Drosophila melanogaster: one gene and its partners. The gene in region 3 interacts genetically with the main gene of each other region. Each region holds a gene or a part of one and is shown on either strand. Other genes may lie near its edges.

Region 1 (6,949 bases), 7.2 Mb from region 3:
GATACTCCTAAAAACAAAAATCATATTTAAGCATACCTACATATTTGCAAAATAAAAGAAAACAAAATGTTAAACTACACCAATCTCTGCTCAAGATCTGCTTATACGAGCCTAGTTTTATAGCAGTCTACTTTATTCAAGCTGGCAATGCTGTATGCCACCGTTATTGGATGATCGCTCGGTTGGTACCCTCGGACTACGAATGGCTAACTAGTTTGGTGTTACGTTTTTACTCGGCTTGCCAATTTACCCAAAAGGAATTTGTTAAAATAATTCTTAAATTTTATTTTCCTTTACATCAAACTATTTAATCTCAATGGTGATTTAATTTTACGGCAGCTGTTTTCTTTGAAAGTTAAAATTTACCACACACATTATTCTTATTCCTAAAGTCCAAACTTTAATTAATTAGATATTCGTTTTTATTTACAATTTATCGCTGCTTTCTGCATACATTACTGACTAAGTGCTCAAAATAACCAGTTAATGGGGCGCATTTAAAATCATCTTGTAATAAAAGACACTAATGGATTTTTGAGAGACTGAGAAGAACTGAGAAAAATGCACGAACATATGCGTCACATACACCCCACCGCATCCGAGGTACCTGCTGAAAACAGCTGGTTGTGGTTCTTTGTACTCGAAGCAGGTGATAATAAAGGCGCAATAGTAGCCCAGTCAGTTGACAAACAAATCGCAAAGCAGAAGTACCGACAGGGGCCATTAGTCCAGATCCTCCAGGTAGGCATAAATACATATATATATGGGCATTACTGGCAGAATGCGGCGCACAGAGAAAATGAAAGAGGCGTAAAAGGTCAACGCTATCCGTAGTCCGCTTTGTTTACGGCCTACATCGTGAATCAGAGAGAGTACTAAAAGTGCGGATTATACGCGATTACGATGACCGGAAGATAAGCCAGTCATTGCGAATTCCCTGTCCATAAATGCTGACCCGTCAGCTGTCCAGTGTTCAGTGATCTTTCAGAACCGCATCGTTATACTTGCAGTCTAGCCATGAAAACCTTTCACTCCCTACTATTCGCCCTGATTTTGGCCCTCGTGAGCCTGGACCCCTCTTCCGGTTACTCCCGCCGGAAAGATGAGCGTATAATTAGAGAATATAAGCGAGAGCAAGAGTTAAATCACGCCAAGATCGCCAGAGATTTGGTCCATCGCGCCAATTGGGCGGCTGTGGGAAGTCTCTCCACCAACGAACGGGTGAAGGGGTATCCCATGGTCAACATTATCTCCATCGACGACAGCGATGCTAATAACAGGTCCACTGGACGTATTCGATTCCTGCTAACCGATTTGGACTTCACTGGTCCCGACTGGCAGAAGGACAACAAGGTCACACTCCTGTTCAGTGACGAGCAGACCCTAAGATGCAAGGAGGGCGGAAAGGATCCCATGGAGCCTACATGTGCCCGTTCCATGATCAGTGGACAGGTGAAGAAGGTATGAAAAATGAATTAAATCCTATTTAAAATGGATTAAGAATGTTTTGGCTCATTTGAAGATGGATCCTAGCGACAAAAGCTATCAGCCATCGCTGGATGCCTATGTGAGGCGTCATCCAGCTGCCATCAATTGGGTAAAAGGTTGGTGAAAGCGAACCTCATTAAGAGCTCGATATGTATGTACTAATAATAAATACGTTGTTTCTTTTACAGCTCACAATTTCTACCTTTGCGAACTGGAAATTAGCAATATCTTTGTTCTGGACTTCTATGGAGGTCCTCATAAAGTGAGCGCCTCTGACTATTACGCTGTTTCGAATTGATGAACTCCTCCAAAAGCAATCCAACTGACGCCTCATATACTTTGTCAAAAAATGAAATGATAAGCATATTTGCACAACATGTCTGCCACAAAGGGAAAGAATGAAGACAAAGGCCTTTATGAAAGCCACTTATCAGTTGAGCTCTGTGATTTCAATCGATAGAACAATAACTTTGATATAAATAAAAATACATTCCGTTGAATGTACTCTGACATACTGAAATGTATTGTTTTGGTTTAAGAGAAACCAGAATTGTTTAACTAAAATGTTTTCATCTTTTTAGATTCAATTTACATTATTTATGTGTATATATAAAATACTTTTTAGTTTTATATGTTAGGCGGTAGCCTAGATGGATAATTTATCTGACTCATTAGGTAAACTTCACGCTTTGAGTAACTTATCCAAATATACCTTCTTCTGAAAGCAAACTAAATCACTGCACCCACCAATTCGTAGATAGAACCATTAGTGGTTAATTTGTATGTATATTTTAAACGCAGTTTTTCAAAGTTAATCGATATAAATGTAGTGGCGCAACGCCGTGGATTAGTCTTTCAAGGGGTTTACAGTGGTTCCATCTAGGTACCGGGCACCTTGCACAGGGTGGCATCAATCTTCTGCAGCTGCGGCAGTATGTCGCGCAGTTTGGAGCGGTAGCGAACATCCTTGGCCAGCGGATTGTACTCCAGGTAGATGGTCTGCAGCGCCTTGTTCACCTTCAACAGCTCAATGTCCTTCCAGTCATCGACTCCGTTGTGGTTCAGCCACAGCTCCTCGAGCAGTTCCAGCTTTTCCAGATTGGCAATGCCCTTCAACCGGTTCTTGGCCAAGTCGAGGGTCTCCAATTTGGTGTTCTCCGAGAGGTTTTCAATGGTTTCCACTCCGTTTTCCGAAACGTAGAGTTCGCGGAGGTTGGCAAGCTTTTCAAGGTTCTCGATTTTTACAATGCGATTGGCCTGTAGACTGAGTATCTCCAAATTGACCAATGTGTCCAAGTTCTCGATCTTTGCTATCTTATTTTTGCCCAGGAAGAGCTGTCGTAGATTCACGAGCATTTCGATGTTTTCGATCTTCTTCAGTTTGTTATCCCCCAGCTCTAGCATGGTCAGATTGGTGAGCATGTCCAGGTTCTCGATTTGGGTTATCCGGTTCGACACAAAGTAGACCTTCTCCAGCTTGACCAGCTTGTCAAGGTTCTCTATCTTCGTCAGACGATTGAAGCTAATGTCCAGCACCTCCAGGTGGGGCAAGTCGTCCAAATTCTCAATCTTGGTGATCTGGTTGTCATACAGCTCCAGCTCAATCAGTGTTTTCAGGCTGGACAAGTTCTCGATTTTCTTGATCAGATTCCAGCGCAGAAACAGGCGCTCGATTCGAGTCAGCGGCTCGAAGTTCTCCAGCTTCTCGATCCGGCGATGATTCAGATCAAGCTCGTAGCAGTCCGGATCGATTGTGATTATATCCTCAATGGAAGCCACATCCTCGGCGGGAATCACCTGGATTCCGGACACAGTTTTCGCGGCTTCTGGTTCGTTCATCGCACGATCAGCATCGCCCATGACTGATATATTTTGACCGGCTTTTCTTTTTTTTTAATTCAAGTTGACTTTCGAAAATTGAACGCTGACTTGACTTGTTGTTTATTCCGCTGCTCAGGGTGGAACAAAGTGGGGTGACTTTCTTTAAATATGACGTCAAAGCTTGACACTGTTACAAAAGCAAGAACACACGGTAAATATAAATATGTAAATTTAAAATAAATATGTATTAAAATATTTACTTAATATTTATAAGTTAAGTCCAAGATGACTGTATACTCCTTTTGGTCCAACTTGTTCAATATGTCAACAAAATACTTAGTCACCTTACCGGCACTTTAACACTATTTCTACTAGAGATGTGCACCTAAGAACACGATGCTAAACCTGTATTATTATATATTCCAATGTAAATGAAAAACAAATATTGATTGATAATTTGCCAAATAAACTAGAACATAATTTTTGGAACCAGCTTTACGTAATTTTTACAATTTTAATATCTCTTTTAAGTTTTTCAAGCAGTTGTGCCAATGTCGTTCTTGATTGAGAAATGCGCATCTCTAGCATTTCTTCTTCTATCATCAGTGTTAAGCAACGCCGGCGGGGTTCAATCAGATGTTTTCCAAGCGTGTTGATTCAATTGGCAACAAATTGCAAATTGTTTAAAAAAGACTCGAAAATGGCTTTCAAATGACAGCAAACAAGTAGTTTAAACTGTCAAAACAACGGATAAAAACGAAGCGTTGCAGGTGGCAGTGTTTATTAAAGCAAAGAACAAACAATCATGTCTACGGGCCTAAAATGTCGCAATTGCGGATCCAACGAGATCGAGGAAGACAATGCTCGCGGAGATCGAGGTATAATGACATCCAAGGACCCATATCCATGACACTAACGACGTTCACCCATTCACTGTAGTTTGCATGAACTGCGGCTCGGTATTGGAGGATTCCCTCATTGTTTCCGAAGTGCAGTTCGAGGAAGTTGGCCATGGAGCAGCCGCAATTGGCCAGTTTGTGTCCGCCGAGTCGTCGGGCGGTGCCACCAACTATGGCTACGGCAAGTTTCAGGTGGGATCGGGCACCGAATCCCGCGAGGTGACCATCAAAAAGGCCAAGAAGGACATCACACTACTCTGCCAGCAGCTGCAGCTATCCCAGCACTATGCAGATACTGCTCTGAATTTCTTCAAGATGGCATTGGGTAGGCATCTGACCCGCGGTAGGAAGAGCACCCACATCTACGCCGCTTGCGTGTACATGACCTGCAGGACAGAGGGCACCTCCCGTGAGTAGTGCATTCATTTTGCCTAAAGAGTAGCTTATTGACTGCTCATATCTTCACAGATCTCCTCATCGACATCAGCGACGTACAGCAAATCTGTTCCTATGAGCTTGGTCGTACCTACTTAAAGTTATCGCATGCCCTTTGTATCAACATACCTTCTCTGGGTGAGTGAACGTTGTGAATACTAAACTATACACCTAAATCCCAATCCACAGTCAAGTCAAGCCATAGCTCCACTCTTAATTTTTGTTTTTTTAAAAATATTTTGTTGGGTTTGTTAGATTTGCTTGCTTTCCTTTTATCAGGTATTTAACAATACTCTACTCGTTCCTGTTTTCTTTATGCACTACTTACGTGATGTCAAAATATCCAAAATCTTCAACTCTGAGAAAGTAAATTCGCAAAAATCTAATAATGTATTTTGTTTGATTAAAGTACATAATGGTAATAGATTCATAATCAATACAGGATAACATTTTATATAGATATATGTATATAAAAACCATAATTGTCTTATCAAAAGCAAAAAATCAGTACAATTTCCAAAGAAATCCGAAATACAAACGTAAAACTGATTGTTGCGCTCAGCAGGCTATAATAATGCACAGGAGAAGTACGGGGCTTAGTATCAGTAGAAAGGCATATTGTGTATGTATGAGAGATATAATGGAACAACTACGAAATAGATATAATGCGTACTACAAGATTAATATTTGAATATATATGTAGGGGGGATTTTGTGCGCATCTCGTACAAGATCCCTTGATTTCATTTTTGTTTGCTATTTCGTTAACTGGTTAACTTGGGTTTCAAATTCGTCGTATGCAACTATTAACATGGCCTATTCTCCCTCGAAGTGTTTAGGACTATAGTTTATCATTATCAGATCAGATGTGTGTATATGTTAGGTATATGCTGGCAAAAATATGTTTGGTATATATCGTATTAGCTTTTGTCCACTCTCCCTTTAACTGTCTTTAGAATATTGGTTAACGCTAGCTTGACTGATTGCCCGATTTTCACTTATTGCATGTATCTATGCGTCTCTATTAGCGTCCATATGACCCCATCCCGCCCTCTTAAGTCGTGGAACGTATTAAGTTTTCGAGTCAACTACTAATCTTTATCTATAAAGTTAAGAGTGTATATGATCAACTTTTTCGATTTTGAAAATATCTTTATATGCATTACCAACAGACTATGTGCAGTGCGTTTTAGAACTGCAAAACCATTGATTTCACTTGCTTAACATACTTGGGATATCGAAGGAAACTTTCCAATTATAGCAAATTTCCTATATCGATTGACTTGCATCGGCTGACTTTTTTTTTTGAGATGATCACGTACTGACAATCGTCTTGGAGTTTTAAAACGCACTGCCGAGGTGTATATATATGTGTCTATGCTTTGACGTGTATATATATGTTTATATATAGGACTATTATGAAAACTAGAGTACTCTACTATCTTGGTATATATATATATATATATATATATATATGAGCCTAAAACTCCAATTTACTTTCTTGTGCTGCACTGAAAACCCATGAGTTTCGATTTTGTATCTGTATCTTTTGCGGTTGCTGTGTTTTGTATTGTTGTGTTGGTCTCCTCTGTTGCTGCTGCTGTTGGCGGTAGTAACAGGCTCCCTGCCACTCGGCGCAATAGAGCTGTGCGCATCAGGTGCTTCCGTCGCCATCCTCCCCAGAACTGTTGGCGTTATTGCCAGATCCATTGCTGCTATTCGGAACAGCTGTTCCGGCTGCTGCGGTTGAAGTCGCTCCTGCATTGGAGGAACTGCCACCAATTGGCGTGGGACACAGTGAATTGGTGGGCGAGCTCATTGCTGTCACTGTGGTGGGTCCGTAGAAGATTAACTCTGGGATTTGGCCGCCCTGAACTCCGGTGCCGTTGGTGCTCTCCGACGAGCACTGGAACTGGAATGTCACATTGCCCATTAGCACCTCGGACATGCCCTCCTGGCCAAAGAAGCTAAGCTCGTTTCCATCGAGAATTACGGAGGCGGTATAATAACACTCGGGCTCGATCTGGATGGGATTCTCGAAGAAGACGTGGAACGTGTTGCTTGATCCGTCCGAGAAGAACTTGGTGTCGTTCTCTGCAAGCGTGCGGCCCAGGCGTTTAAGTTCGATCTTTACGTTGTAGTTGGCAGCACCAGTCGACGAGCCGTACAGTCCAAAACCCACAATGAAAATTCTGAAATTTTCAGTTTTAATTACCTTAATCCAATAACCATTTGTTAGATAGAACTTACCTTCGATCAACAGAAAACTGAATTGAATCACAGCGCCCGCGGTAGCGCCACTGGTTC
Region 2 (7,514 bases), on a different chromosome or scaffold from region 3:
GGATCTGGATGCGGATGAGGATGGGTATGGGTATGGGTAAGGATAAGGGTATGGGTATGTGAAGAGTGCGTTTCGGGCTGTGGTAAGTTTTCAAATACTTTAAGTAATTGTCTGTGTGTGAGTTTGGAAATTTTTCTGTTGTGAATTTGGGTTTCTCAGGCTGGCTTCAGTTAATTCGTTCGTATGCGTACAAAATGGCGAGATGTCAACAAAAACAATTGTTAATTACTTTGAAATATTCAAAAAGCAATCGTCGTGCGTCGTCGACTGCAGCTGAAAGCAGATTCGCCATCCGAGAACGTCTGGCTGGGATGGCTGGCTTTCAGCCCCAGACTTTTGTTGTAAAATTAACCTGGCGGCCAACTCTATAACAAAGGCGCACTTCAGGCTTAGACTACTAAATAACTAATTGAGGTATGTGTGTGGCGAGGCTGTCCTCGTGCTGAACTAGCTGGATGCGTGGAAATTTTGACGGGCCAAAAGCTGGCTGAATTTCGTAAACCGGTCTATTGCATAAAATTGCAGGTCTTCGTCCGCCGCCCATTGCCCATTGGGCACGGACAAGTAAAAAAGCGTAGCAAACTAGTTGGGCAACGGAAAAGGATGTGGCTGCTGCGATGGCGATGGCGATGGCCAATGGCAATTGGAATTGCAAGGACAACGCCAACGGCTGCTGCTAGGCACTGCTATGCCACGAAATCGAGCGGCCGGTTGAAGCCACCCTTGCGATTCATGTACTGGCGGTACTTTCGCTTGAGGATTACATGCACTTCTCCGACATCGTTGCCCTCGACCTTCCTGTTCTTGGTGGTGTCGAACGTGCAGAATCCCATTGTCTTCAGCATCTCGACCTCTTCCGGCGATTTACCCTCCAGGTCCGCCTCGTTGATCTTGGGCCGGTCGGCAGCTGTGGCCGCCGCATTGTTCCTCGTCGTCCTTCGCGACGTCGATGGTCCGGAGCTGCTGTTGCCGCCGCTGCTTCCGCCGCCGCCTCCTCCTCCTCCTCCTCCGGCGACCCTCGACCGCGATCTGCAAATTATGAATGTGTGTGCATAGTGAGTGGTGAGTGTTCTATAGATTTCGTTTGAGTGACAGGACCGACCAGTTGATTGCATTCGAATTGCAACGAGCCTGGGAAATAACTGGGGCGACCTTGGGCGTTGTGCACCCGATTGTGCAATATGAAGTTTTAATTACGCGAAATGCGACACTTCTCAACCGGTCGGTTGGCTTCATTAAAGACCATATTTACGTCTCGATTTTGGCAATCATCTGAAGACCCAAAATAACCGGCTTGTATATGCATATGCTAGAGAATTTCATTCTAAGATTTAAAATCAAGCTCAAGATCCCTCTAAAATCCATTCTGAATCCATTTATATACCTAACAGACAATATTCCTCTATTCCTCTAGCTTATATCTCAAAAACTTCCATTGGAAAATAGCTAATTGATGCTTGCAGCTCCCAGACTTTGTTTTAGTTTCGTGTTTTGTATTTCTTAAATGAAATGTAGAAGATAACAGATAATCCTTATATCAAGTAGAAAGTGGGGAAAGTTTCGCTTAGGACATGTCCTCGATGAGGGCCGCACGCAGCTTGGTCGTCACTGTGGCGGGCTGTGCCTGGTTAAGCTTGAAGACGCTCTCGATCACGGAGATCTCTGTGGCCGTGGTGTTCATGCCCACGAAGGAGAGCCAGTCGTTGACGACCATGCCGGCGGCGAGTACTTCGCTGCCCCGGTTCACTGTTCCGGCCACGAGGGGAACCTGCAGCAGGGACGACAGTTCGTCCTGGTCCTGAATGCTCGTCTTGGGATGCACCATGCCGCCCTGGTTGCTCAGCACGGCGTAAGAGCCCACCAGTGAGTTGTCGGCAATGGTCTGGCGGAAGACCTCTACTTTGAGCACGTCCGCGATGATCTCCTCGGTCTCCTTGTCCAGATCCGGGTGCACCAGGGCCACATAATCATTGCAGGCGATAACGTTGCCCAGCGCGGACAGGCGCTCCTCCACACGATAAATCTTCACGGCGTCTGGCAGGCTGTTACGCAGGTGTTGCAGCTCCTCGTCGGTGGTGGAGTTGGGCACCAGCAGGCCGTTGCGGTTGCCCACGGTGAGGCGGCCGATGATCCGGCAGCCGCCCACATTCGCATGCACCACCGGGATGGTGTCGCCCAGCTCCGCCTCGAAGGCGCTGTAGAAGGTCTCGGATCCACCGATGGCCACCAGGCAGTATGTGTTGGTTAGTTTAGTGAAGACGCCGATGTCGTCGTTGTTCTCGAATTGGACGCGTAGAGCCATTTTCTCTGTATTTACGTGGATCCTCTTTTCCTGCTGGTTACTCTCTTTTCGGATTTACTGGCCTGACTGAGCCTGCTGCCGGATGAGTTCTGGATTCTGTTTATATGTCCGGAAATCAATTTAAATGTCGTGATGAAATTCGCACAATTTCGCTTCACGTGGTAATTTTTTTTTGATGTTGGGACGCCAGAGCTGCATAGCCATCGATTGGCTGCCTATCGAAGTGTGGGTCTATCGATACTCGTGGGTAAATAAACAAGTTCTGAACGGCGATTTCGGGGGTTTGAGGGGTCAATTGTCCCCTGTGTTGGAATGTGTTCCTAAATCTACACAAACACTCCCTAAGCTTATCCTAAACTTATAAATATTGGTTGCTATTTAAACCCCATTTCACGGTTATCCAGCACGCCCCTGAACTGTGACCCACATCCCCGATTTTAGTGACTAGTTTTATACTTATCGTGGTTGGCATTTGGTACACTACACTTTCTTATTCACCTAGATCGCCGACTCCGCGCACGGTCGCGCTCCCGTTCCCGCTCCCGATCTCGGCTGCGACTGCGGTCGCGATCCCGTTCCCGGTCGCGGCGACCGGCGCCTCCAGATCCGGATCCTCCGGCTGGCGCTACTCCGATGGCCTCCCGCTCCCGGGAACGGCGCTCCCTGCGCTTCTTCCGCTCGGATCGCTCCTTCTCGCGTCTCCTGTGCGCCGGCGAGGCGGGACTTCGGCTGCGGCCCATGGCTCCGTTTCGGTCTCTGCTTGTGTGGCGGTTTGAGTGATTGATGATGGTTTGCCTGCAGTGGATTTGAGCGGATGTTAGACTCCATGTACTCCAATTGCACCGCACGCATCCCGCTTACCGTTGCACTAGGCTGTGTCTAGCATTATTTGGGCGACACCGGCGGTGGGTAAAAACGCGCTAACTTAAAACTAAAACCAAATAAACAACGCGCGTTATCTCGCCGCGACGCCGAAACGGAATGAGGAATGCAGAATGCGGATGATGATGCGAGGGATGCGATGCAAGGGCAAAACATGGCCACCTATCGGATATCGATTGATGGTCGATTTTATCTTCGATAAAAATGTATCCTATGTATATCGCATACCGAATGTTTAAATCGATCTGTTTCCTTTTGAATATGAACTATGTATATATATTAATTAATATTTTTTAATAGCATTACCTATATTATATTTCAAATTATGCCCGGACTATGATAAATTTAACAAATTCATAATTACAAATCTTTCGTCAATACCACTTCCATAAATAGTTTAAAATATCAAAATATTACGAACTTTGCCAATATAAACGTTATATTTTCTACATTTACACAGTTTCTTCTTTTTTTTTTTGAAGCTATTAAACCACATATTTGCTCACGATCGCAGCTGAAATGAACTACTATGTTGGATCTTCTAGTTCGATCTTCAAGACCGATTCATTTTCCAAGTCGCGGGACTGCCAACTCCCGCGAAATAGAAAGAAAATGCATCTTGAAGATTAAGATACACACAACAATCCGTAAGTGCGTCAGAATTTTCAGAACCCGCGGTTCGCTGGAACTCTCGAAATAAACAACTAAATGCCACTGTACATCTGAAGCTATCGCAAGTGGATAGCGCCGTAGATATAGAAAAACAGCGATCGCAACCGATCCGTCCAAAACACGAAATAATGTCGGGACTGCGAAACACCTCGGAGGCCGTTGCAGTGCTCGCCTCCCTGGGACTCGGAATGGTTCTGCTCATGTTCGTGGCGACCACGCCGCCGGCCGTTGAGGCCACCCAGTCGGGGATTTACATAGACAACGGCAAGGACCAGACGATCATGCACAGAGTGCTGAGCGAGGACGACAAGCTGGACGTCTCGTACGAGATCCTCGAGTTCCTGGGCATCGCCGAACGGCCGACGCACCTGAGCAGCCACCAGTTGTCGCTGAGGAAGTCGGCTCCCAAGTTCCTGCTGGACGTCTACCACCGCATCACGGCGGAGGAGGGTCTCAGCGATCAGGATGAGGACGACGACTACGAACGCGGCCATCGGTCCAGGAGGAGCGCCGACCTCGAGGAGGATGAGGGCGAGCAGCAGAAGAACTTCATCACCGACCTGGACAAGCGGGCCATCGACGAGAGCGACATCATCATGACCTTCCTGAACAAGCGCCACCACAATGTGGACGAACTGCGTCACGAGCACGGCCGTCGCCTGTGGTTCGACGTCTCCAACGTGCCCAACGACAACTACCTGGTGATGGCCGAGCTGCGCATCTATCAGAACGCCAACGAGGGCAAGTGGCTGACCGCCAACAGGGAGTTCACCATCACGGTATACGCCATTGGCACCGGCACGCTGGGCCAGCACACCATGGAGCCGCTGTCCTCGGTGAACACCACCGGGGACTACGTGGGCTGGTTGGAGCTCAACGTGACCGAGGGCCTGCACGAGTGGCTGGTCAAGTCGAAGGACAATCATGGCATCTACATTGGAGCACACGCTGTCAACCGACCCGACCGCGAGGTGAAGCTGGACGACATTGGACTGATCCACCGCAAGGTGGACGACGAGTTCCAGCCCTTCATGATCGGCTTCTTCCGCGGACCGGAGCTGATCAAGGCGACGGCCCACAGCAGCCACCACAGGAGCAAGCGAAGCGCCAGCCATCCACGCAAGCGCAAGAAGTCGGTGTCGCCCAACAACGTGCCGCTGCTGGAACCGATGGAGAGCACGCGCAGCTGCCAGATGCAGACCCTGTACATAGACTTCAAGGATCTGGGCTGGCATGACTGGATCATCGCACCAGAGGGCTATGGCGCCTTCTACTGCAGCGGCGAGTGCAATTTCCCGCTCAATGCGCACATGAACGCCACGAACCATGCGATCGTCCAGACCCTGGTCCACCTGCTGGAGCCGAAGAAGGTGCCCAAGCCCTGCTGCGCTCCGACCAGGCTGGGAGCACTACCCGTTCTGTACCACCTGAACGACGAGAATGTGAACCTGAAAAAGTATAGAAACATGATTGTGAAATCCTGCGGGTGCCATTGAATTCAATTTACCACTTAGGCTAAGCACTATAGCACTATATATATAAAGCATTTCTGTGTAGATGTCCATCTCTGTACTAATCTCGAATATTTTTATACAAAAATATACAGCGCTGTACCTAACTGAAGTTCGTCTCTTGAGGAGTTTCATTTGTGGCTAGTATTAAAAGATACTTCTTCTTTATTGTCTCACATCTACTCATGATTGGGATGCACAAATTTCAAATATTTCAAAACAACGATGATAGACGCAATGTGGTACTAAAAGTACGTATTTTGATTCTGGTTAGCTCTCATTTAAAATTAACAGTCATTTCACAGCAATAAAAGGCACAATCAAGTCCTATTTGGACTTCGGCACGCTTCTTTGGATCATTCTTAATTATTTTAGGACTCAATTAGTAGGGAAGCAGGCAATATGCGCGAGGAAGCGGGCTTTATCGCTTGTGAATCCAGTGGTGGCGGAAGGCAAACAATTCCATAATCAAGTTGCCGACACGCTTGTCAATTAGCGCCGACATCAGGCGGCCATCAAACACCGGTGTCTGCACATTCAACGACACACACGCATCTCTGAAAGGAGAGCACATTAGACTGGAGTATTCTCCGCAACTTGGATTGCACTTACAAGATTTCAAACACCGGAATGTTGTTTCGGAAGTATTCCTGCAACATAAATACACCATTGACGAATTTGGCTCGACTAATGCTGAGCATCATATCGGGATCCTTTCTATACAGGATCACAAAGATGTGCCGGTTGGGCGTGTCGATGGGTCTGACAAACTTGCCGAGGACACTTTCAATAAAGGCTGGCGTGTTCCTGCTGTGGAACTCCTCGCAGTCGCCGCCTGCGTAGAGCACGAAGAACTGCCTCTCGATGAAGTGCGAATTGAAATGGTGTGGTTTCGACAGCATGTTCTCCTCCACTTCCCGGGCCCAACTGAAGTGGGCGTTAACGGACAGGAGGTACAAGGATGGCAGCTGGGGCGTCGGTAGAAAGGTTATGGGCGGAGGCTTGAAGAAGCCCACGAATCCATCCTCACTCTCGAAGATCTTCGATAGCGTATCAGTCAGCACGGTGTATTGGGAAACTGGCTCGCAGTCTCGGCGCCACATGTCCAGCTCGCTGCAGTGCTTCAGCAAGTCGTGGTACATTTTAAAGAAGTAATACCGCGTGCGCATCACCATCTCCGCCGTAGCCTTGGACATAACCATCCAGATCCATTCGTCTATAAAGACGTTCACGTTGCGATCGGTCAAACTCATTTCACTGTCGCAGATCGGGGAGAGGCGAATCCGTGGATGTCCTAATTAATACAAAATGAATGATAACCAGAATGATATAACATGAAATTCATTCGAGCTTACCCGAGAACATGGCAACAGCCAGAGGAACGACCAGGGTGGCGTAAACAATGTGGCTCTTCTGCCTGTTGCACACAATCCACGGTGTGCGGAAGCTCTGTGCCGAAATATTCAGTGGCTCCAAGAAATCGCGGAGCACGGTGTTCGGATGCATGGAAACGTTCCCGGAGAAGGCCGACTTTAGCGAACTCTTTCTAGTGTCCACGGCATAGATGTTGGGATACATTCCGCCCGTGAGGGCCGCCTTAACCATGTGCCAATTGCAGGACATCTGGTTGAGATTGTTCATCGACAGCTTACCTCGGCTGTGAATCAAATTGGCTGCCCGCAAGGAGCTCACGATCTCGGAACGAATGGAGGTGAGTTGCTCCATCAGGCCATTCAGCATGAATTCATACTCATCCTTAAGGTATAGCGGCGGCGTCCTGTTGTGCATTCGGTTTTGCCACTCCTTGTACAAGCGCACGAAGATGAAGTGATCGGAAAACTGATTGTCGGACAGGTAGGTCCGCTCTTTCTTGATGCTGTTCTGGATGTAGATGGTGAACCTGTCCCACAAGTTGTCGATGTCCTCGGTAAACGGAATGCCCAACGGGTCCGCCGTCGACAGAGAGCTGACAATCGTGAGTATTGGATCCAGGCAGCGCAGCAGGATGCCGAAGATCAGCATGCGGCCGAGTTGACAGGAGACCGGGATGTCCATCAGGCGGCAGCCCAGCCAGGTCACATCCTCGGCGTCATCGAGCACATCTATTTTCTTGAGGAACTGCACGGCATGGTGCACGTTGATCAGCG
Region 3 (7,916 bases):
TGGCGGATCCCTGATTGGTCTTCCAATTGCCGGTGATGGATTTGCGCCTGTTAAAGAGCGAAAGCGGTTAAGTATAATAAATTAAGCGGCTAAAAAAGCGTAGATAATGCGTTTGGGAGGTCGGCGAGGGATCTTTGAACCCGTCAACGGGCATTTCGGATGGCAAACAATGAACTCTTGCCGCTGCACTTGGTAGGATAATTGCCAATTGCAAAACGACGACGGCTTTTGTCTGCTGACAGTTGCAAGGTCAGACAATCAGACCATTCAGACCATTCAGACCATTCAGACCATACGGGCCATTCAGACTACATACTCAGACCACTCGACCCTTCCTGCATCAACTTTTGGCTTTCAGTTTCAGCCGCCTGCGGTTTGCGGTCACTTACATAAACGCCTTGTAGTTGTTGCCAATCTTCTGGATGTGCACGCTGAACTTGGCATCGATATAGGGCTCGATGGTGCAGTAACAATGGGAATCGTTACCAGCACCGCTCACCAATCCGGCGGCATCTTGCAGGGCGCTCTGGTTCTCCAGGCGAGCGGTGGCCACTCCGCCATGGCAATGTCCAGCCTTCAGCACGCTTGGGAACTTGGTGAATTGGAACTGCAAGTGCACGGAGAGAAAGAATTTATAATTTAGTTAGTTTAGTTTTTAACCATGTTTTTATGATGGTTTTCTATTGAGGCGAGCACGATATATTGTGATTATCCCAAATAAATATGTCATAATCTCAAAGTGAATATTAATAATTTTAGGACTAATCTGACTAATCCAAAAAATTGAATAGTTTCAGATTTTATAAATAGCCTTTAAACATTTTTAGAAAAGTTTTATAGACCTCGCTTTAATGACTGACATACTTTATGGTACATTAAGTTAAATAAAAAAAATGTATATATTTAAAACACTTTCTTCTTGTGTTGGGAATAAAGACACCGAGGCAATCACAATATGTTTTTCACTGTCTGATTGAAATTCTATAAATTACAATATACCGATGAGCTCTTTACTTCCATTTTTTCTCATTTTATTTTCTGCGGAAATCAAGGGGCGATGCTTATTAATCCATTGGATAAGTGCCAAATTCATTGGTTGTTTTTGCCCTCATTCCGATCACGAATCTGGCCATGGAAATTTTCTTTTGATTTGCCAGACGAATTCCAAGAATCCTCGATCATTAGTCAGGCAGGAACATTTCATGAAAATACCTTATAGTTATTAATGGCGCATGCAAATCACTATTAAATATGCAACAGCAACAATGCCCAGCCCTCAAATATTTGACTAATTCGCATTTTATTAATTTTACATCGTTGCTCATGGTTATTACATTTATATATGCAAATCGCCAACCGATTACCCTTGTTAATCATCTCTCCCAGACCCAAAGCCATATTTAAACAGTTGATAAATCACAAGTAAACACATGGGCTTAATTTTGTGTTGCATTGGCAGAGAATGAATAAATCAAAATAAAACCAAATGGAAAACCATAACAACCATGACGCAGCTCGAAGAATTGTCGCAATTGCCGCCGATGAAAGACCGTCCTGTTGACAGAAAGCCCCAAACAAACAGAGTGCGAGAAATCTCTCAATGAACATAAATATATATAGGTATCTGAGATGTATCTGGACCGAGAATAAGAGTGACTATCAGAATGAGACGTCACACCCCCACATAGCCAGCATTCTTGGAAGCTGCTACGTGTTCCGCCTGAGTACCCACCGTCTAGGGAACTGCATCTCGGTTATATCAGCGGACTTAAAATATGCACTGTGACGCATTCGTAGTGCCCTGAAGCGGGTTCATCGATTGACAGTGGTGTCTGGTGTATAAGTGCACAGGAAGAAAACGATTTAAATAAGTTTCAACATTGGCACAGACCACTATACTGATCACAATTGTAAAACCCTATTATATTAAATCTTATAATTTTGTAATATTATTATAATATTCTTAAGCCATCAGTAGTGCAACGTTAAGTATCCCCAACCGTTTCTCGCCGTGTAGATCTGTAGTGCGGTGGCGTTACCGGGTCGGGTATGCAGATTATGGCAACGTGCTGTAGGTGGAGCATGGAGTATGATATGAAGCATGACCGGAGCAACAGCACGTGTGTGCGCCACATGGTCAGAGGAAGAGGAAGTTGGATCTCTGGCGAGTTTACGACTGGGCATAGCTGAATTATTAGTTGATTTGCGGCCTGACAGATGCGCTATTCTCTGCCGTTTCGTGTGGCGATCTCTTTTTGGCCATGGCGCCAAGTAACTACAACTATGCATATTGTATGCTATTATATGGCCGAGAGCATAAACCAGGCCCCTGCACGCAATTAATAAAGCTGCCAAGGTAACAAAATAAACGCAAAGAAAAATGCAATCGACTCTCCTCCACTTTCCACTCATTTGGGGCGAATTTATGGCGCTTTTGATCGCCCGACTGCCGCAAGAAACACTCAAGTTATAAAGACACGAGTGGATTCGACTCAAACGATCGATCGATCCGATCTCTCACTTCCCGAACAACTTGAGTGAAGAAAACAGTCGAATCGGTTGACTTGACGATCCAGTGCAGAACCGCAAGCGCAGCGAGCTAGAACGCCACAAAATCGGCGACGGAAAAATCGCGACATCGTACGAGATATATAGTACCAAGTAGTATAAAGTGCTGACGAGTCGAATCGAGTGCGAGTGCGAGTGCGAGTGCCGGTGAAAATACATTCAATTGTTTTTCCCGATTTTTGTGCCCTCGGGTTCAAGTGTTTAAAAGCCTGAAGTGCTAGTTTTACACACAAAATAGGTTGCAGCTTAAAGGTAACAAACTAGGCTTATTTTGCTAATTTTTGGTAATTTAAGAATTGAGTACTTGAATGCTTAATTGTGTTAATTTATTTTAAAAATTTCCGCATTGCCAAGTGTTGTGTCAGAAGTTAAATAGCCGGAATAAAATGGTTTGCTTATTTTTCCGCAAACAGAATTTTCATATATGTTTGAAAGGCAAAAAAAAGTTTCAGCTCAAAGAGCAGATTCAAAATAGCTTTTGTGGAGTTTTTAGCTAGAAATATTTTAAAATTAATTTTCTCTTATCAATTGATTTTTAAACTTTTCTCTTCTTTGATGCATTTTCCCCTGAGGTGCAAATTTCCACCTCAAAAACAAGTTGCAACTCAAAAGCCAAAGTACACAGCCATGTTTGTTTTTATTTTATTTTAGTTTTAGTTTTAGAGTTGTTTGGCATTTAGAAGATTGAAATTGAAATTGAAGGTATGCAAAACGCGCGACACAGACGCGTTGTGTATTTTATTTTGGGGCTATTTAAAACGCGCAGTGGGAAATGTGCCGACGTGACACAGCGACACAGTTTTCCAACGAAACGCTCATTTCTATTTATTGGCGTTTATTTATAATTTGTTTTTATTTGCCTAGCTGTGCATCTGCCTTCCCTGATCTTTTGGAGCGCCCCGAGTTTTCTTCTGGCCTTTCGAATTGTCTTAATAGTTTTTATTGTCGCCAATTTGTAAACAAACTGCAGGCCATTAAGAAATATACAACTAGTTTGCTTGTGCAATCCAGTCTGATCGTAAAGCCCATTTGAATCTGTGATGTACAAGTAACAATTTTGTTGGATGTCAAGGAAAGCGAAACGGTTGTGTGCGCCAGAGGTATTTCCATATTACGCATACGTCATGTGTGTTTTGGCATTGGCCATTTAGTGTCTAAAAATAAAGAAAAACATTTAATGCTTCTCGACTCTCACAAAAAAAAAAAAAACACCAATAAAATGTACAAGCACATCACAAGGGAGGGGAGTAAAGACTTCTCCAGGGAAATGCATTTCAAGTGGGTTTTCCCCTTTCTTTTCCATTGAGTTTTCTTTTGACAACTCGCATTGTTTCGCATGGATATTCATAATTTCGTTTTCCTTCATTTGACTTTGGATTCACTGTTGGCTTTTCGTTTTGTTTGTGCGCCATTTAAATGAGCTTGTATTTCGTATTGGCTTTTCAGCTTTTCTGGGATATTATATACTACGTTGACTTTTATTTTCTTTTTTTTTGCCATCAGATAACACTTATTATCGAATGGAATTTAAATTTCTAAAGTCTGCTAATTTTTGAATTGAATGCATTGTTTGCTTTTCTTACGACACATATTGCCATATGGCACCTTAACATTATCTTAACCGCAATTGCTTATTGAGGGAGAGAAAATCCGGTTAGTAGGCTACACTGAAATAAAAAAAAAATGTGTCCTAAAGATACTAGAGTGTTTGTACTCATCATGGTCAGATAAATTACCTTGAATAATAAAACTAGAACCATTTAAAACGTATATTAAACATTTCACATGATAATAATCATTGTAAATTGATATGTTTCTTTATTATGAATATCAGGCCTATTTCAGCGACTCCGAGAACGACGATCAATATAATGTAATGTAAGATTACGCATTGTATCCAATTCGCAAACAATAAAAAACCACAAAAGCTGGGCAAATAAAATTGTCATAATCGATGATTGTGAATGTGGCTTTTCCCTCGCACATCATTCAATTTGCCATATTTGGCGAATGCTTTTAAATCCCCAAAAAAGTCCGAAAGCCATATACGGTTGGCGATACAGATACGAAAACATTGGATCTGGATTGTTTATGCCGACACACCCACATTCTGCTCATCCCATTGCCTTTAATAAATTTTCTTGTGCAAATCTTGCAATTAAATATTATTGTACAAATAAGACAGCGCGACAAAGAGACTTTGGTTTGGTATTTTGGTCTTTCGCCACCATTAATAATTTCTGCCTCCCCCATGAATGTGCGTAAATTTCACAGGTCTGGCAGCAATTTATCGACAATGAATTTGTTTTTTTGGGAACCCGGAGCTCCTCCATTTGTGTGTGGGCCATGGGCCGTCAATTTGTCAGCTTCCCTGCTGCGTTTCTGCTCCTTTTATCTCAATGTCCCTCAATGTCTTTAACAAGAGCTGTCAACCGGGTCTTAAATGGAGCCTTGTTGGGCTGAGATAAATCACCCAAGTTGACGAAAACCGATTCGGTATTGTCACAGAAAATCACTTGAATATTTAATTGAACTGCCAGCCGGGTTATTTGTGCAGAGTTTATTGATTTTTATGCAAATTCCAGCAATTTGATAACTAAATGCAAGACCACACAGTGCGCACCATTGTATTTCCGAGCCAGAACCCACATTATACATAATATTGTATTTTCCGGCATATGCATATGTTTACTTTGCGGTCTTATATATATGCACATGCTATATGGGTTTCGCTCATTAAAGATTTATATTTTTATGGTCCGGCCAATGCAATGTGAGTCCAGGCCCCAGACCTTCGGGTCTCCGATTTTGTAGGAACCCTTCCCCCCCCCCCCTTCACCTACCATCCTCTTCAGATACATTAGCATTTTTAATTGAATTTTCGTTACGCATCCTGGGTGAAATGTTTGTTGATTTTGCCACGCCGCCAGACAATTTGTGTTATAAGTTGAGAAATTTGTGGCGTTACTGTTTCGCTCTTTAATTTCGCGTCTCAAAATGAAATCCCCAAAAAAAAAACGTGACGAATTTGGGCTTGCATTTTCTGTTTGTTTTCTTGATCGACTGATGCAGTTGAGTGGCAAAATGAGAGAAGTCTTATTTTCGGCGCAATGATGTCAGATTTCGCCGGCATACTTGTGCATGGGTTAATGAGGCGCAAGGCAATAAAAATTCCGACATTCCGAGCATAGTTGTCTGCCAGACAAGGTTTCGTCACACCTGAATGGAGCTGTCAACCATCGAGCCACTGCATCCAATACGCTGGCGATTCAATTAGTCGGTCGAGACAACACTTTACCAGTTCTTATCACCTCGGATTGGGATTTCAATACCGATGTTAATTATGCATGTACGTGCCACTGGTTCAGGTGTTTGTTGAGTGCATGTAAATGCCAATAGCTGGTATCATTATCTTTAGCCAACTTGAAGCCACATTATTTGGCCATTCCGGGCAGGAAAACCATTCCGGGTCAGGGATCAAGCAGTGGCATTAATCAAATGGGCATACCATAACCCCCTTTTGTTTGGGCCGCATTGATCATGCTGATTATGGCATTGCCTATTGCCCGATCGTGACTTTGATATTTCCCCCTTAATTTTCCCCCATTGTTGTGAAGGCATCGCCGACAAAGGAAAAGCCAGTCAACCGAATGCCTCCGGCCAAAGAAAGTTTTTCAGCATCGTTATGGGAAGTTGGCGGAAATTCACTGGACTGCAAAAGTCGGTAATGAAAAAGTCGATGTGCATGGTTTTGCCCACTTGCGAGTTGTCATCTCAGTTGCAATGGCTAATATTTGCTTGCTCCAATTAAAATTTATCCCGGATTCTGATAAGTTGAATATCTTCTGCGACGATATGACATCATCGGGTTGGAATGAAAATCTAAGTAAGTAAAAATCAAATTGGCACAGCAATAAAAAAAAAAACAAATATGTAGGCGAATTGCCGCAAAGAGCAATATCCAAAAGTAAATGACCGCTGAAAAATCCAGTCGATAACGGTGACATTCGATTCGAAGTTTGGGTACTCACTAAACTTATATTTCATTACCTCATTAGAAGTGTCATATTTACTTAGAATTATGTATCCGTGTCATAGTAATGTGACAAATTGCAATAGAATAAGTTGATTAGCATGTCGAAATGATCTGATGACCTACTGCAACAATACTGAATCATTTGTAGATAAAACCAATTTTTAACACCATAAAAAATAAGTTATACTTTTTATTCCGCTACTTTATAGACCAAGAAACCATAAATCAATTCCCGCAAAATGATCGAAGCAGCCACAATTTGATATGCCTTTTTTGGAGGCGCAAAATTTTAAGCATCGTAAATGTGGGGACTATGCTGGGCAATGTAGTCGAAATATCCGAAAGCTATAAATACGTTTTTATGTCGATGCATTTAGTGTTTTGTTCGATGCTATGTGAAGTGCCTCTGGCTGTCAATTCTTTTGTGGGTCCACACACTTCACTTAGGCATTAGCCGGTATTAATGGCCCCAATTAAGTGCTCATAAACCAAACCTCTCAACGGGCAACTACATAGCACACTGGCCAACACAAATTTGCAAAGAAAGCACGGAACGCAAACCAAAATCGCATTAATTATGTGGCTTTGGGTTGTTCAGCCATTTCGGCGAGCAGTCTTCAACCAACTAAACAAACCACCCAAAAAAAGGAGAGCTAAACCGAAAGCGCTTTAGTTTGGTAGCAGGAAAACCTTTCTGTCCACTTTTCCCCCATTTTTTTTATCATCATCACCGAGCCTTGGCCTTTTCCATGTCTGACCTTAGCAAATCCCTTTGCATTCACCTGGGAAATCTGTCTGGATTCTGTTTTCTGTCTACCTTTCTATGGGAAAGTGTTAATCATAAAATTTGCATAATGCCAAATGGCTGAGCCTTTTGGGTAAAGATTAAATATTACGAAGACGGATTTGTAATTTAAACATTTAAGCAAATAAAATCCAATGAATGTTGTGAATTTTGTTATTTTATAAATAAATACTTTAATATTTTGAGTTTTTTTTGTTTGTTAAGTAGTGTACAACTAATACGCGAATAAATAATTATAATCAAAAAGCCTGTCGTGCTTCCAGTTTAGAACTGTCGATATAATTATACAAATATTTTAAACTTAATCGCTGGAAGTTTGATTGAATTATATTCCATTTCCTTATAGCGAAATTCCCCTCACCATATTTGTCCGTAAATATTTTTCATTTTGTTGTGAACGACGAACTTTAAGTGCCCTGAGTTCAGAGTGGAAATCAATGCCAATTGAACTCGATCCGATATTTGAGTTAATATCTTTTGAAATTGTTGCCCCCTCTTGTTAATTTT
Region 4 (10,108 bases), on a different chromosome or scaffold from region 3:
TTTCTTTTTATCACAACGGATGTGAGTGTGCCAGGACTGAAATAGCAATGGATGGAGAAGGGACAGGAACGGAGGTGGAGTCGGGTTGTGGAAGTGGCGATAGAGTCCTTGGGCTGGGGTTACCTTCGCCAGCATCCTGCCAAATAAAACAAAAAATTCCCCGACTTGAATAGTGTGAGTACTAGTACTTGGTTCGCTTGAATGGCAAAAGAATGGGAATCCCAGTCGCTATTTTATCAGTGCACTAATAAAAATAAATCGTAGTTCCATGTCACAAAAAGCAAAAGTTGCATGTAAACTAGTTTTATGGCTTTAAATTAGATCGAAAACTGTATATAAAGAAAATAACTCAAGAACATTCAGTTGATATGTATATACGTGGATATGAAAATCCCGAGAATGTGACATACATTTCTTTTCGGTGTACTTTTGTCACCACGACTCTAGGACTTCCCGAACTCGCTGCCCACCCACTTCCTCCGCACAAAGCAAATCAAACAAACTTTTATTTCACACGATTTTCGCTCTGCTATTTTTCTCCCCCACTGACTCGCTTTCAATGTTTTTATTTGTCTTGAAACAAGTGAGTATAGCGAACTGATGCTGATGCTGATGCTGATGATCGGGGTCGAAGGTGAGGGGTCGCACGTGCAGCGCGTGTCTGTTAGTTTTGATAGTCAGTTGACTTCGCTTGTGGATGCCACCCAAGCAAGTGACCCGTTAAATTTTTGTGATAATTGCTATATTCGAGTGCCGAGTTCTCGGTAAATAGCTTTGAGATACTTTCATCAAGGGGTTGCAGTTTTGAATAAAATAAAATATTTTTAAATTAAATGTCTATATATCAGTTAGAAAATGAACGGTCTGTCCCAGTCCAATTGCAATGGGCAATTGCAATGCAGCCTCGATAATTGATTGTTTGTTAATAATTATGTCGAATTTTTTGGCAATATGCAGTATGCTTTTAGGGACAACCTCAATTTGGATTCAATTACTACTTCGTAAGCCCTAAAATATCTTGGCAATTTGTAAGTTCCCACAGTCGAATCAACTCATAGATTGCTCTCTTGGGGGTGGCTCTTCTTGCCCACCCAATTTCATTGGGCAAATATTGTTGTAGCATTTCATAGACTTTTGCACAAGTGATTTTCGTTGAGAATGGAAGCGGATGCCAGGTCCTTTGTCTGTGTTTAGGTGAGGTCAAAATGCAAACATTAAATGCTTATTCAAGTTCGAGTCTCCGACTGTCACTGTGAATAGGGCCAGGACACTATAAAAACGACCTTGCGGGCAACAAAAGGCACACCACAATGTCTGTGTGATTGTGAAAATGGGCAGACAGTCAACACTCAAAAAAAATTGCATAAACTTTCAAGAAAGCATAAAAACTTTTTAAACATGCCTAACTTATCATCTTAAAATGTTTTTTTTTAAACTGCATCAGAATTTAAGCTGCATTTTGAATACATTTTTTGGCAAGGATCTAGTTAGCGGAATTTCTCATATCTTATCCCAAATATTGAATTGGGTCAGGTTTTTGTTTGAGTGAAACTTTGGGGAGCAGTAGATTGGTGTGTGGGGCAAGGAGGCTGAGTTGGGTGCGGCATCCTTGGTATTTGGCACTCCTTATCAGCACTTTCGTTGCGTTGCAGCGTGGCATTTGTGCGACTTTTATGGGCGGCTTTTCAGCTGGTTACGATGCTGTCGCGATTGCCCTGTACCGCCAAGCTGTCTATATTCCACCCAACCCACCCAGAGAAAAGTCCAATAATAGTGGTGGTTGCTGCTTTGTTTTGTGCAGTGCCTCAGACAAAAAAGTGCCAATTGTTTTTGGGCCGAGAGTTATTGACACGCCTCGACGGTGAGCGCTTCACAGTTGGCCGCTTAAACAAGTGGGCGTGAAGGAATCCCATTAAGGACGATCGCCACCCTTCCGAAACGGCAGACAATCCTGGCCATCGTCATCCATTCATCCCCGCGGCGTGTCGGCAATTTAAACTAATAATCAACGCATCAGCAAACATTGTCGTTATATTCACAGAAGCCTGTGGCGTTTGGCGGTGACTCCTTACAGATTGCAAGCTATGATTTTCACTCACATGCAAACCAGGTCTCTATAGGGTTCTTCAATCCTAAAACTATTGTTACAATTTTGCCATAAATCCCAATGCCATGCTTTATTCAAGTACACTGTTTAAAAATCGTGGAATTTCACACTATTTTTAATTCGATTTCTGCTCTTTCATTTATCACATTAAAGTATAGTTTTACAATCATATATTACATAAAAGTGGACATGTTCTCGATGCCTTAACAAATCTAATGTACTTTAGATCTAATAAGCCATTTGTTTGGGTTCCAGAAATTGATAACAAAGATTGTGAAATCCTTAAATTAGGTATGAATAAAACCATTTAAAATGTGTTTTAAGCTGATTCAAAGCTGATTAATTCAAAGATTTATCGAAAGAATTGAGTTATTCATATAACAACATATCAATAAAAATATTAAGTGCAGTTTAAGTAATATGTACGAATTCAAATGATGTTGTGAATTTTAATAAAATGTCAAAAAATATATATAAAATATATATATATAAATTATAAGAGACTACTAAGTGTTATTTCTTAGCTAAGATTTTTTAAAATTTCTTTGATTTAAAATGTCTATTGCTTTTCGAGGCCGGACTTAACTTCATTATTTGTCAAAAAATGTCAGTAAATTGAGATTTTGAATGTAGTTTTAAAATTAATCATCTAAAATAGTGAAGCAGCACTAAATCAGAACCAAAAACATAATTATAGTAGCAACTAAAGACGTGCATTAATATTCGTCTAACACTAGGCTCTAACATTAGGACTTTTAACTTTTGGAGAGGAATGGTAAAGTTTACCATCCAAATTCCCTCTGTGGTGCTCATCCTAGACCACGTGTTCCGCGGATGAGGAGGTGCCGGCGCCGAAGCGCAATGGAGTCGGTCAAATGATGTTTGGCGGACTGGCCGCGCTGGCCACTACCGCATTTGGTGAGGACTTCTCTGACTTGACGCATCCGTAGGATGAGATGCCGGTACCGCTGCTGCTGGGCGGGGAGGGTGGAGTTTCCGGACTTATCAGCGGCAGATATCGCCACGGGTGGTAGATGGAGCCGGCGTACATCGCCTGGAGGCGCGCCTGTAGGTCCAGGGCCAACGTGGGATCCAGTGGATAGTGGGCGAGGCCGGGAAAGGCATTCGGCAGGCGGGGCAGCGATAACTCCAGTGGCGAACCAAAACCGTACTTGGCGCTCAAGGTGGCGGCGGCCAGCTGGACATGATGTGGATGAGGATGCGGGTGGTGTGGATGCGATTGATATGGTGACTGGTGCGGATGTCCGTGGAGATGTGGCAGCGACTGACCCAAGGGCGACAACTGGGGCTGCATATCCTTGGGGGAGCCAACTGATCCTGGGCCACTGGGACCGGAGTTACCCGCACCACCAGCGTTGACACCACCGTTGGCACCACCTCCACCGCCGCCACCACCACCACCTGGCACCGGTGACTTGTTGAGCGTCTTGGGCTTGCGACGTGGTCGATACTTGTAGTCGGGATGTTCTTTCATGTGCAGAGCCCTGTAAATTAAATAAATGTTGAAACACTGATCAAAAGATCGAACGATTTAAGCTTTGATGATATCATAAAGTCAGCCATCTCTGGTCGTAAACCCCAAGAGAAGCGGAACCCTTCCATAAACCCCACGCCAGGCAGATACAAAATGCACAAGTTTATATTGTGTATTTAGCGAAGAACCAGCACTCCGATTCCAACTTCGATTCTCTTTCCGATTTCCCAGCTGCAACAATGCGCAATTGTTGACATTTGTTTGACATAACGATAAAACCTGATAAAAGGTGTGTTTGGGTCGCCTCCTCTTGTTTTACTTTCGCTTTTCTTTATTTTGTTTTCCTTTCTTTGGTCAGTTATGGCCTCCTTATCGCGGGTCCCGAAAAAAAATATTGTTTTCCTTATCATCGCGCATTGGCAAATATTTGATCAGAATTTTTGGTTCTTTTCATTCGATATGCTCGCTCGAAAACCCCGAATGGCCATTAGTTTAAGCCCCTTCTGACGAGCCCTGATCATTTATAAATGTCATAAAATGTAAGTAAAATTTAACATTTCCATTTTGGCAGGCCAATCCAATCAATAAAAGGATTATGACAGTGCAAACACAGAGGTTCGTCATCATAAAAGACCGCACTATCTAGGAAGGCATAGAAAAAACGAACTTGTGAGATACGGCATTTCTGGGAATTCCTGTGGTTTAAAAGTGCACTGCAAATTTTGATTCCATTTATACCAATACAACTTATTTAAAAGCTAGTTTTATAAAAAATAAAATAATGTGAGATATCACTTTTGTACTTATTTGTAAAATGCTCGCTTTTGAGTATATTTCTTGTACAAAGAACTCCATTCTAGCGGTATTTTCAGTTAATCCCGATAATTACGTTTATTAAAACTAAGCTCAAACTGAAATTACTCAAACCCTTTCGAAAGGGTACACTGAATGGGTTAAGCACACAAAAAGAAGCAAAATGCAAAATGAATGGAGCATTTCATGCGACGTGTTGCCTCGCTTTTGTGTGACAACTTCAATTGAAATGTTTACCCAAGATATGGCAGTGCCAATGAAATTCTGACTAAGCAGAGCGGACACAATCCCCGACTCCAGAGCTCCGCAATTCAGCAGGAGCTCCTCACAATAGGTAGCCTTTGTCTTAGCTAATCGATCAAATTTTGTGGCCAGACGGCATCTAGTGAGAATGAGCTACCAACTGGGAAAATGGTAACCGAAACCAAGCCAGAATTTCCCATCCAACCTACACCACTCTGCTCCTGCATAAGCCGGCACAGAAAAAAAATGTATATCGTGTGGACTGAATAAAATTGAATAAACAAAGTAATTCTTATATCCAAGAATAGAAAGCGGAGGTAACTACAAAAAATACAAGAACTATGTTTTTCCTAGTTTAAATTAATATAGGATTACTGCAATATGATAATCTGTGATTTTTAACATCAATGGGATCCATATCTTTTTATTTTTTTTAAATATAACTTCGCCCTAATAAACCCTATTAATAATAGACTTGGAAAATTAACTTTTGAATTGAAAGGTAAGGACTTTTCCAGGTAAGAAAATACTCTTATTTCTGTTTACAAATTTAGTACATACATATTTTCTCAGTGCTTTTTAACCAGACCCCAGTGAACAATACTTACCGCAATCGTTTTGCCTCGTCGATGAATGGACGCTTCTGTCCTTCGGTGAGTAATTTCCACTCGGCGCCCAGGCGTTTTGATATTTCAGAATTGTGCATTTTTGGATTGTCCTGGGCCATTTTGCGACGCTGCCCCCGCGACCAGACCATGAAAGCGTTCATTGGTCGCTTAATGTGGTCGTGGCTGTTGTGATGGCTTCCAGTATTCGAATTCGAGTGGCTGGTCGGGGCATTATGGTGGGAGTTGCCATGGTGGTGCGTGTGCTGGTGCATTTTGGGTGCCACCGGAGTGGGGGCCGCTGGCGGAACGGCGAGGTCAGCTGGCGGCATCGGTGGTGGGGTGGTGTTTCCCGATCCAGAGCCTACTCCCACACTCATACCCATGCCCAAGCCACCGACCATGCCCAAACCCAAATTGATGCCGGGCAACTGCGGTGAGAGACTGCTGCTATGGCTGTGATTGCTACTCCCGCTGCTCGTGTAACCATTGCTGTGGCTGTGGCTCCGATGGAGCAGGGCCGAGATGCTCGTCATGATGCCGGGCGCGGAGTCAAGGGACTCCAATGGGGGTGCAGGTGGTAATTATCAGGTGGTAGTGCTGCAGCTGCTCCTCGAGCTCTGAAATGCCAACGGAAATGGTATTCAATAGATATGCCTTGTTAGCTTGGGGACTCTGTCTGCTGCTCCCTGCATGAGTCATTTGATTGGAGCTCTTCGCACTGCGAATAGCTTACCAAAAATATGCACAATGGAACTCCATTTACCCCTTCTAATGTGTGTGTACAGGGGGCTCAAAATGGTGTCCCGGTTTTATGACAAACCAATTTAAATATTTACCAGTAATTCAAATCAGTTTTCAGTATTGAGTATTTGCAAAATTGGGGATTTCCCTTAAATTAATATTATCCAAAATATATTCCTTGAAGAACGTATATTTGCATATTAACAGTACTGCCAAATTCGATTTCAAATGATGAATTAATTAAAGATTGGATTGGAAAATGATATATTTTTTAAAACAGGCTTTTCTAACATTGAAAATTGCAAATATTCATAAAATTCATTATATATTTCATATCCTTATAAATCTTTTGGTTTCTTTTTTAAGAAAATATATTTGTTCGCTTATTTCGCTTTTTTAAAGTGTTTAGTTTTTGGGGAGGAGTGTGCAATAGTTTAATTTAGAGCACAGCTTTTTCTTCATTTCATATTTAAATATTCGAATTGTTTACCTAGGGACCTTTTCTCATCATCATAATTAGCTTACCTGTATTAATTGTCTTTTAATTTCTCCCTAATAAAGTTTAAATTTGGATTCCATCCGATGCGTGACACTTAACTATCTAATTAATTGCACAAGAGTTTACGTTGCGATCGAGTTCTTTTTGTTTATTAATATTACTAGGTTAATTATTGTTGATCGCCATTAGAACTCCTAAAAATACACAAGTGCACTGATATGAATTTTTAACTTATTTTCCAAACAGTTCGAGATTTATAGAGCCTCGAATTTACGAACGTTGAAAGTATTTAAACCGTTAGACTGCCGATTCACCGTTAGCCGAGCGCAGCGCGTCCGTTTCGAGTGCGCGACAATTTAGATTTGAAAACACATTCGAAAACTTGCGACAAAAACGGCAAACAAACGCAACAAAAAGGGGCAAGAGGAAGAACGTGGGTGTTTGTAAGTATGAGGGTGTCTCTGTAGTGGTTGGTCGCTGCTGCGTCGCTGCCGCCCAAAAGGACCGAGTGGGAGCGAGACAAGGCGAGAGATAGTGCAAGGGAGAAGGGTCGCGCAAGTAAGAGAGAGAGAGAGAGAGAGAGAGCGCGCACATTTTGTAGAGTTTTTTACACCTTCGGAGGACGCGTCAACGTGGCGGCTAAGTGATAAAAATTCGCTGCTGCTGCTTTGTATCTTTGTATCTGCGTTTTGTATCTTATTGACAATAGTCTCCGGGTTTGTTTTCGTTTTGTGTGCACGTTTGCATTCTTGTTTACCAAACATTGCTCCTTTTGCTCTTCGCCAGTTGATGATATCTGCATTTTTTATCAAAACCGTAACACAAAAATAATTTTGAAAATTTGAATAGCCCAATAACATATTTCATATTAAGCTACCAATATCAATTTTTATTGTAAATATAAATAGTTTTCTTTGAAAAATTCAAGAAAATTCCGGCTAGTTCTGAGAATTTCGCTGCTATATTTATTTACAAAATATTAAATCATAAATTGGTACGTTTATAAAACACTTTATTATTCAGTTCTGTTTTTCTTCTATGCATTTGTGATCCAAATAAAAGGCATAGTTAAACTACTTTATAGCTCTTCTTAACTATGGAATGAGAACCCATTTTTAAGATGTCAAAAAAATGCCTTGATTAGTTTATTTAAATGGAATACAAAACGGAGTGGCAACAATCAATCGAATGAAAAATACACTTTAGCTTTTGAATCTTATACTACAATTAACCAAATATTGGATACTTACTTATATGCATGGTCTACACTATATGGTTATGGCACTATAATTTCTTACTGTGTATTAGACCGGTGTTTGCTCTCACAATCGATCGGTGGCTTATTTGGTATGTTTGCTGCAAGCTTCGGTATCCGCAAGATTGGCCCTTTTTGTTGGCAGGGTTGGGCCGCTTATTTCAATTGCTCTCCTTGTTTGTCACACACAGGAAATTCTCAATTCTTGTTGTTGCTGTACCAATAACGATTTCTGTATAATTGCAACGATTAGAAGCCCTTGATCCCTTAATAGTACCACCTTTATACATTTGCTAAAATTTCTTATAAATGCCGCTCTTTATAATTGACGGTTTCAATGTTCCGCCAACGGAGCTTCTCCCTTGACGAATACTAAGAAATTAGACAATTTTCCCGGTGTTTACAGTGTAATGTCAATAGAAAAGTGTGTAATATGCTAGGTATAGTACATCCGGAACAATAATTTCCCGATCACAATTAATTTTAATTAAATATGCTTTTGCAATAATATTTAACGATTATTGGGACTATTAGCAACATTTCCACAGTATATACTAAATCTTCAAATTAATTTGACCTAGAAAGTAACAAAAACAACATTTTAAAGATAAATGAATCGTCGCAGTGCTTTTTATTTTAAATTTTTTTTTTAATTTTATTGCGTTCCTTGAAAAGGTTAAGGAATAAAGCAATTAAGGATTTTTGCTCTGCATTCCTTGGCATTTTTAAAAAACAACTGTTGGCGCCATAAAAAGATATCTTCCTAAGGGGTTGTTTTGCGCAAGCGTCGCTCTTCAAATGGTCGTAACTTTTGTAGAGTTTCTGCCCTCTACTCCCCGACTTACCCCTCTTTTCGCCCCTCTCCCATATCCTTCTTCACCAAAACAAATGCTAAGTAGGAAACGCATTTGGCGGGTTCCCCCCTTCACCATCGCACAACAATAAAAATGGCAGCGCTCTAGAAATGTGTGTGTGTGTGTGTGTGAGCTGCCCCAAACCTCAACCCCCCACTTAAATCACCCCCAACGCCCACTGCCACCCCTCCTCGCACCCCTGCAACTGCGCGCATGTCGATTTCAGACACTGTGGACCAATGGCGTAGACAATGCTACGGGAAGTGGAGTTTGGGGAATGGGGCTGCTGCTTAGAAGCGTTCTCAATGGTGACGCGTTTTTTATCGCTTTTTGTTTTGCATGCGAATTGAATGCATTTTATTGGCCAAAAGCCAGAACAGACGGACCCAAAACAAAGGCGCCAGCAACTGGTGGTCCTTGGCTAGAACATGCCTGAGTATTTGCTTTATCTACCGCTGGCAGAGGAGCAGGATATTCGGCACGGAGACCTCGACATTCCGTTATTTGTTCCCTCTTAATGGACATTATGGCTGGCCCTATTATGCGGTCATCTCCCAGGACAATGGAGCACAGAAATTAGAAATCATAGTTGACGGTAGCGAAGAAATTTGAGTAATAGGGTACTCATATAAATTAAATCACTCCTAGAGCCTCTTCGTATTAAGATGCTTTGAATGTTATAAGAGTATATTAATATTAATATTTGAAAATTTCGCTAGACTAGGTAAATTTGATAACATTCTCAAAATGGGATATTGGTTTTGTAATGGCCAAAAATGGCTAGACTGTCAACACTGTTTATTTAACACATCCTTTTCGTTGTCCCCACTGCAGTCATAATTTTGGTCGCTTTTTTACATGACCCACAGCAGCATTGTTTGCTGCGCTTAGTTGCAATAATTTATGGCTGGGATTTAACAGCGTCGCACAAAATTTTTGCCAACTCTGGCAGACCGACGCCTCTCCTTCTCATTTGTTCCTACTATCCTTTCGCATTGGTTTCACCTGACCAAAAAATAGGAAATGTGCCCGTACTAATCGTGATTTGTGTTTTAAATGAGGCCAAATGCGAGGCAGTCGAATGAGGAGGCCGATAAGACTAGTGGGTGGCTCTAGAAAATGGAAATAATTCCCCCATAGATAACTATATTTAAGCTGGAAAACTTTTTGAAAAATAATCAGACTGAGACAATTGAATTTTAAAGCTTATATTATCACACCAAATTCGCCTATCAGAGAAGGCAGTTTAATGTTATGAAGAAATGAAAGTATGAAAACAAGCGAACTGTTCCTCCAAATTATTCTTAATTTACTTTGTGGAACCAAAGACATTAGAATTAGTATTATTATCTACGATTCGTAAGCCCGTTATTTTTTTATAATTTAGTTTAAGGGGATTGTTTTAAATCTTAGAAATTTTTCGAATTCTATTTAAAAGGGATCGTTTTGTTGTTGTTTTTATAAGCTTTATTTTATTTAAACTTTCCCGTTTT

Evidence for each region.
Region 1: of Timp (region 3) and sds22, changing one suppresses a phenotype caused by changing the other (phenotypic suppression), as found in Drosophila melanogaster (one study listed by BioGRID).
Region 2: of Timp (region 3) and gbb, changing one suppresses a phenotype caused by changing the other (phenotypic suppression), as found in Drosophila melanogaster (one study listed by BioGRID).
Region 4: of Timp (region 3) and Sox21a, changing one suppresses a phenotype caused by changing the other (phenotypic suppression), as found in Drosophila melanogaster (one study listed by BioGRID).

What each region holds. Positions count from the first base shown.
Region 1 is NT_033777.3:17,388,328-17,395,276, reverse strand, and holds sds22 (sds22), read right to left. Parts: upstream 3,684-6,949; 5' UTR 3,570-3,683; intron 3,521-3,569; exon of another isoform or gene 3,497-3,520; 5' UTR 3,349-3,496; coding exon 2,368-3,348; 3' UTR 2,257-2,367; downstream 1-2,256. Other genes in the region: CREG (cellular repressor of E1A-stimulated genes), read left to right, coding at 1,018-1,461, 1,523-1,604, 1,677-1,786; lute, read right to left, coding at 6,297-6,834, 6,893-6,949; Brf RNA polymerase III subunit, read left to right, coding at 4,115-4,187, 4,249-4,617, 4,677-4,781.
Region 2 is NT_033778.4:23,847,771-23,855,284, forward strand, and holds gbb (glass bottom boat), read left to right. Parts: upstream 1-3,791; 5' UTR 3,792-3,984; coding exon 3,985-5,352; 3' UTR 5,353-5,477; downstream 5,478-7,514. Other genes in the region: ytr (yantar), read right to left, coding at 687-1,029, 2,801-3,042; eIF6 (eukaryotic translation initiation factor 6), read right to left, coding at 1,565-2,302; bgcn (benign gonial cell neoplasm), read right to left, coding at 5,789-5,924, 5,980-6,661, 6,723-7,514. UniProt on the Drosophila melanogaster protein: Required for the growth of imaginal tissues and for patterning of the adult wing.
Region 3 is NT_033777.3:10,207,663-10,215,578, reverse strand, and holds the start of Timp (tissue inhibitor of metalloproteases), read left to right. Parts: upstream 1-2,571; 5' UTR 2,572-2,820; intron 2,821-7,916. Other genes in the region: Syn (synapsin), read right to left, coding at 1-47, 390-607. UniProt on the Drosophila melanogaster protein: Metalloproteinase inhibitor that acts on both matrix metalloproteinases Mmp1 and Mmp2 in vitro. Complexes with metalloproteinases and irreversibly inactivates them by binding to their catalytic zinc cofactor.
Region 4 is NT_037436.4:14,101,276-14,111,383, forward strand, and holds Sox21a (Sox21a), read right to left. Parts: upstream 6,844-10,108; 5' UTR 6,533-6,843; intron 5,884-6,532; 5' UTR 5,800-5,883; coding exon 5,267-5,799; intron 3,613-5,266; coding exon 2,979-3,612; coding exon of another isoform or gene 2,922-2,978; 3' UTR 2,206-2,921; downstream 1-2,205.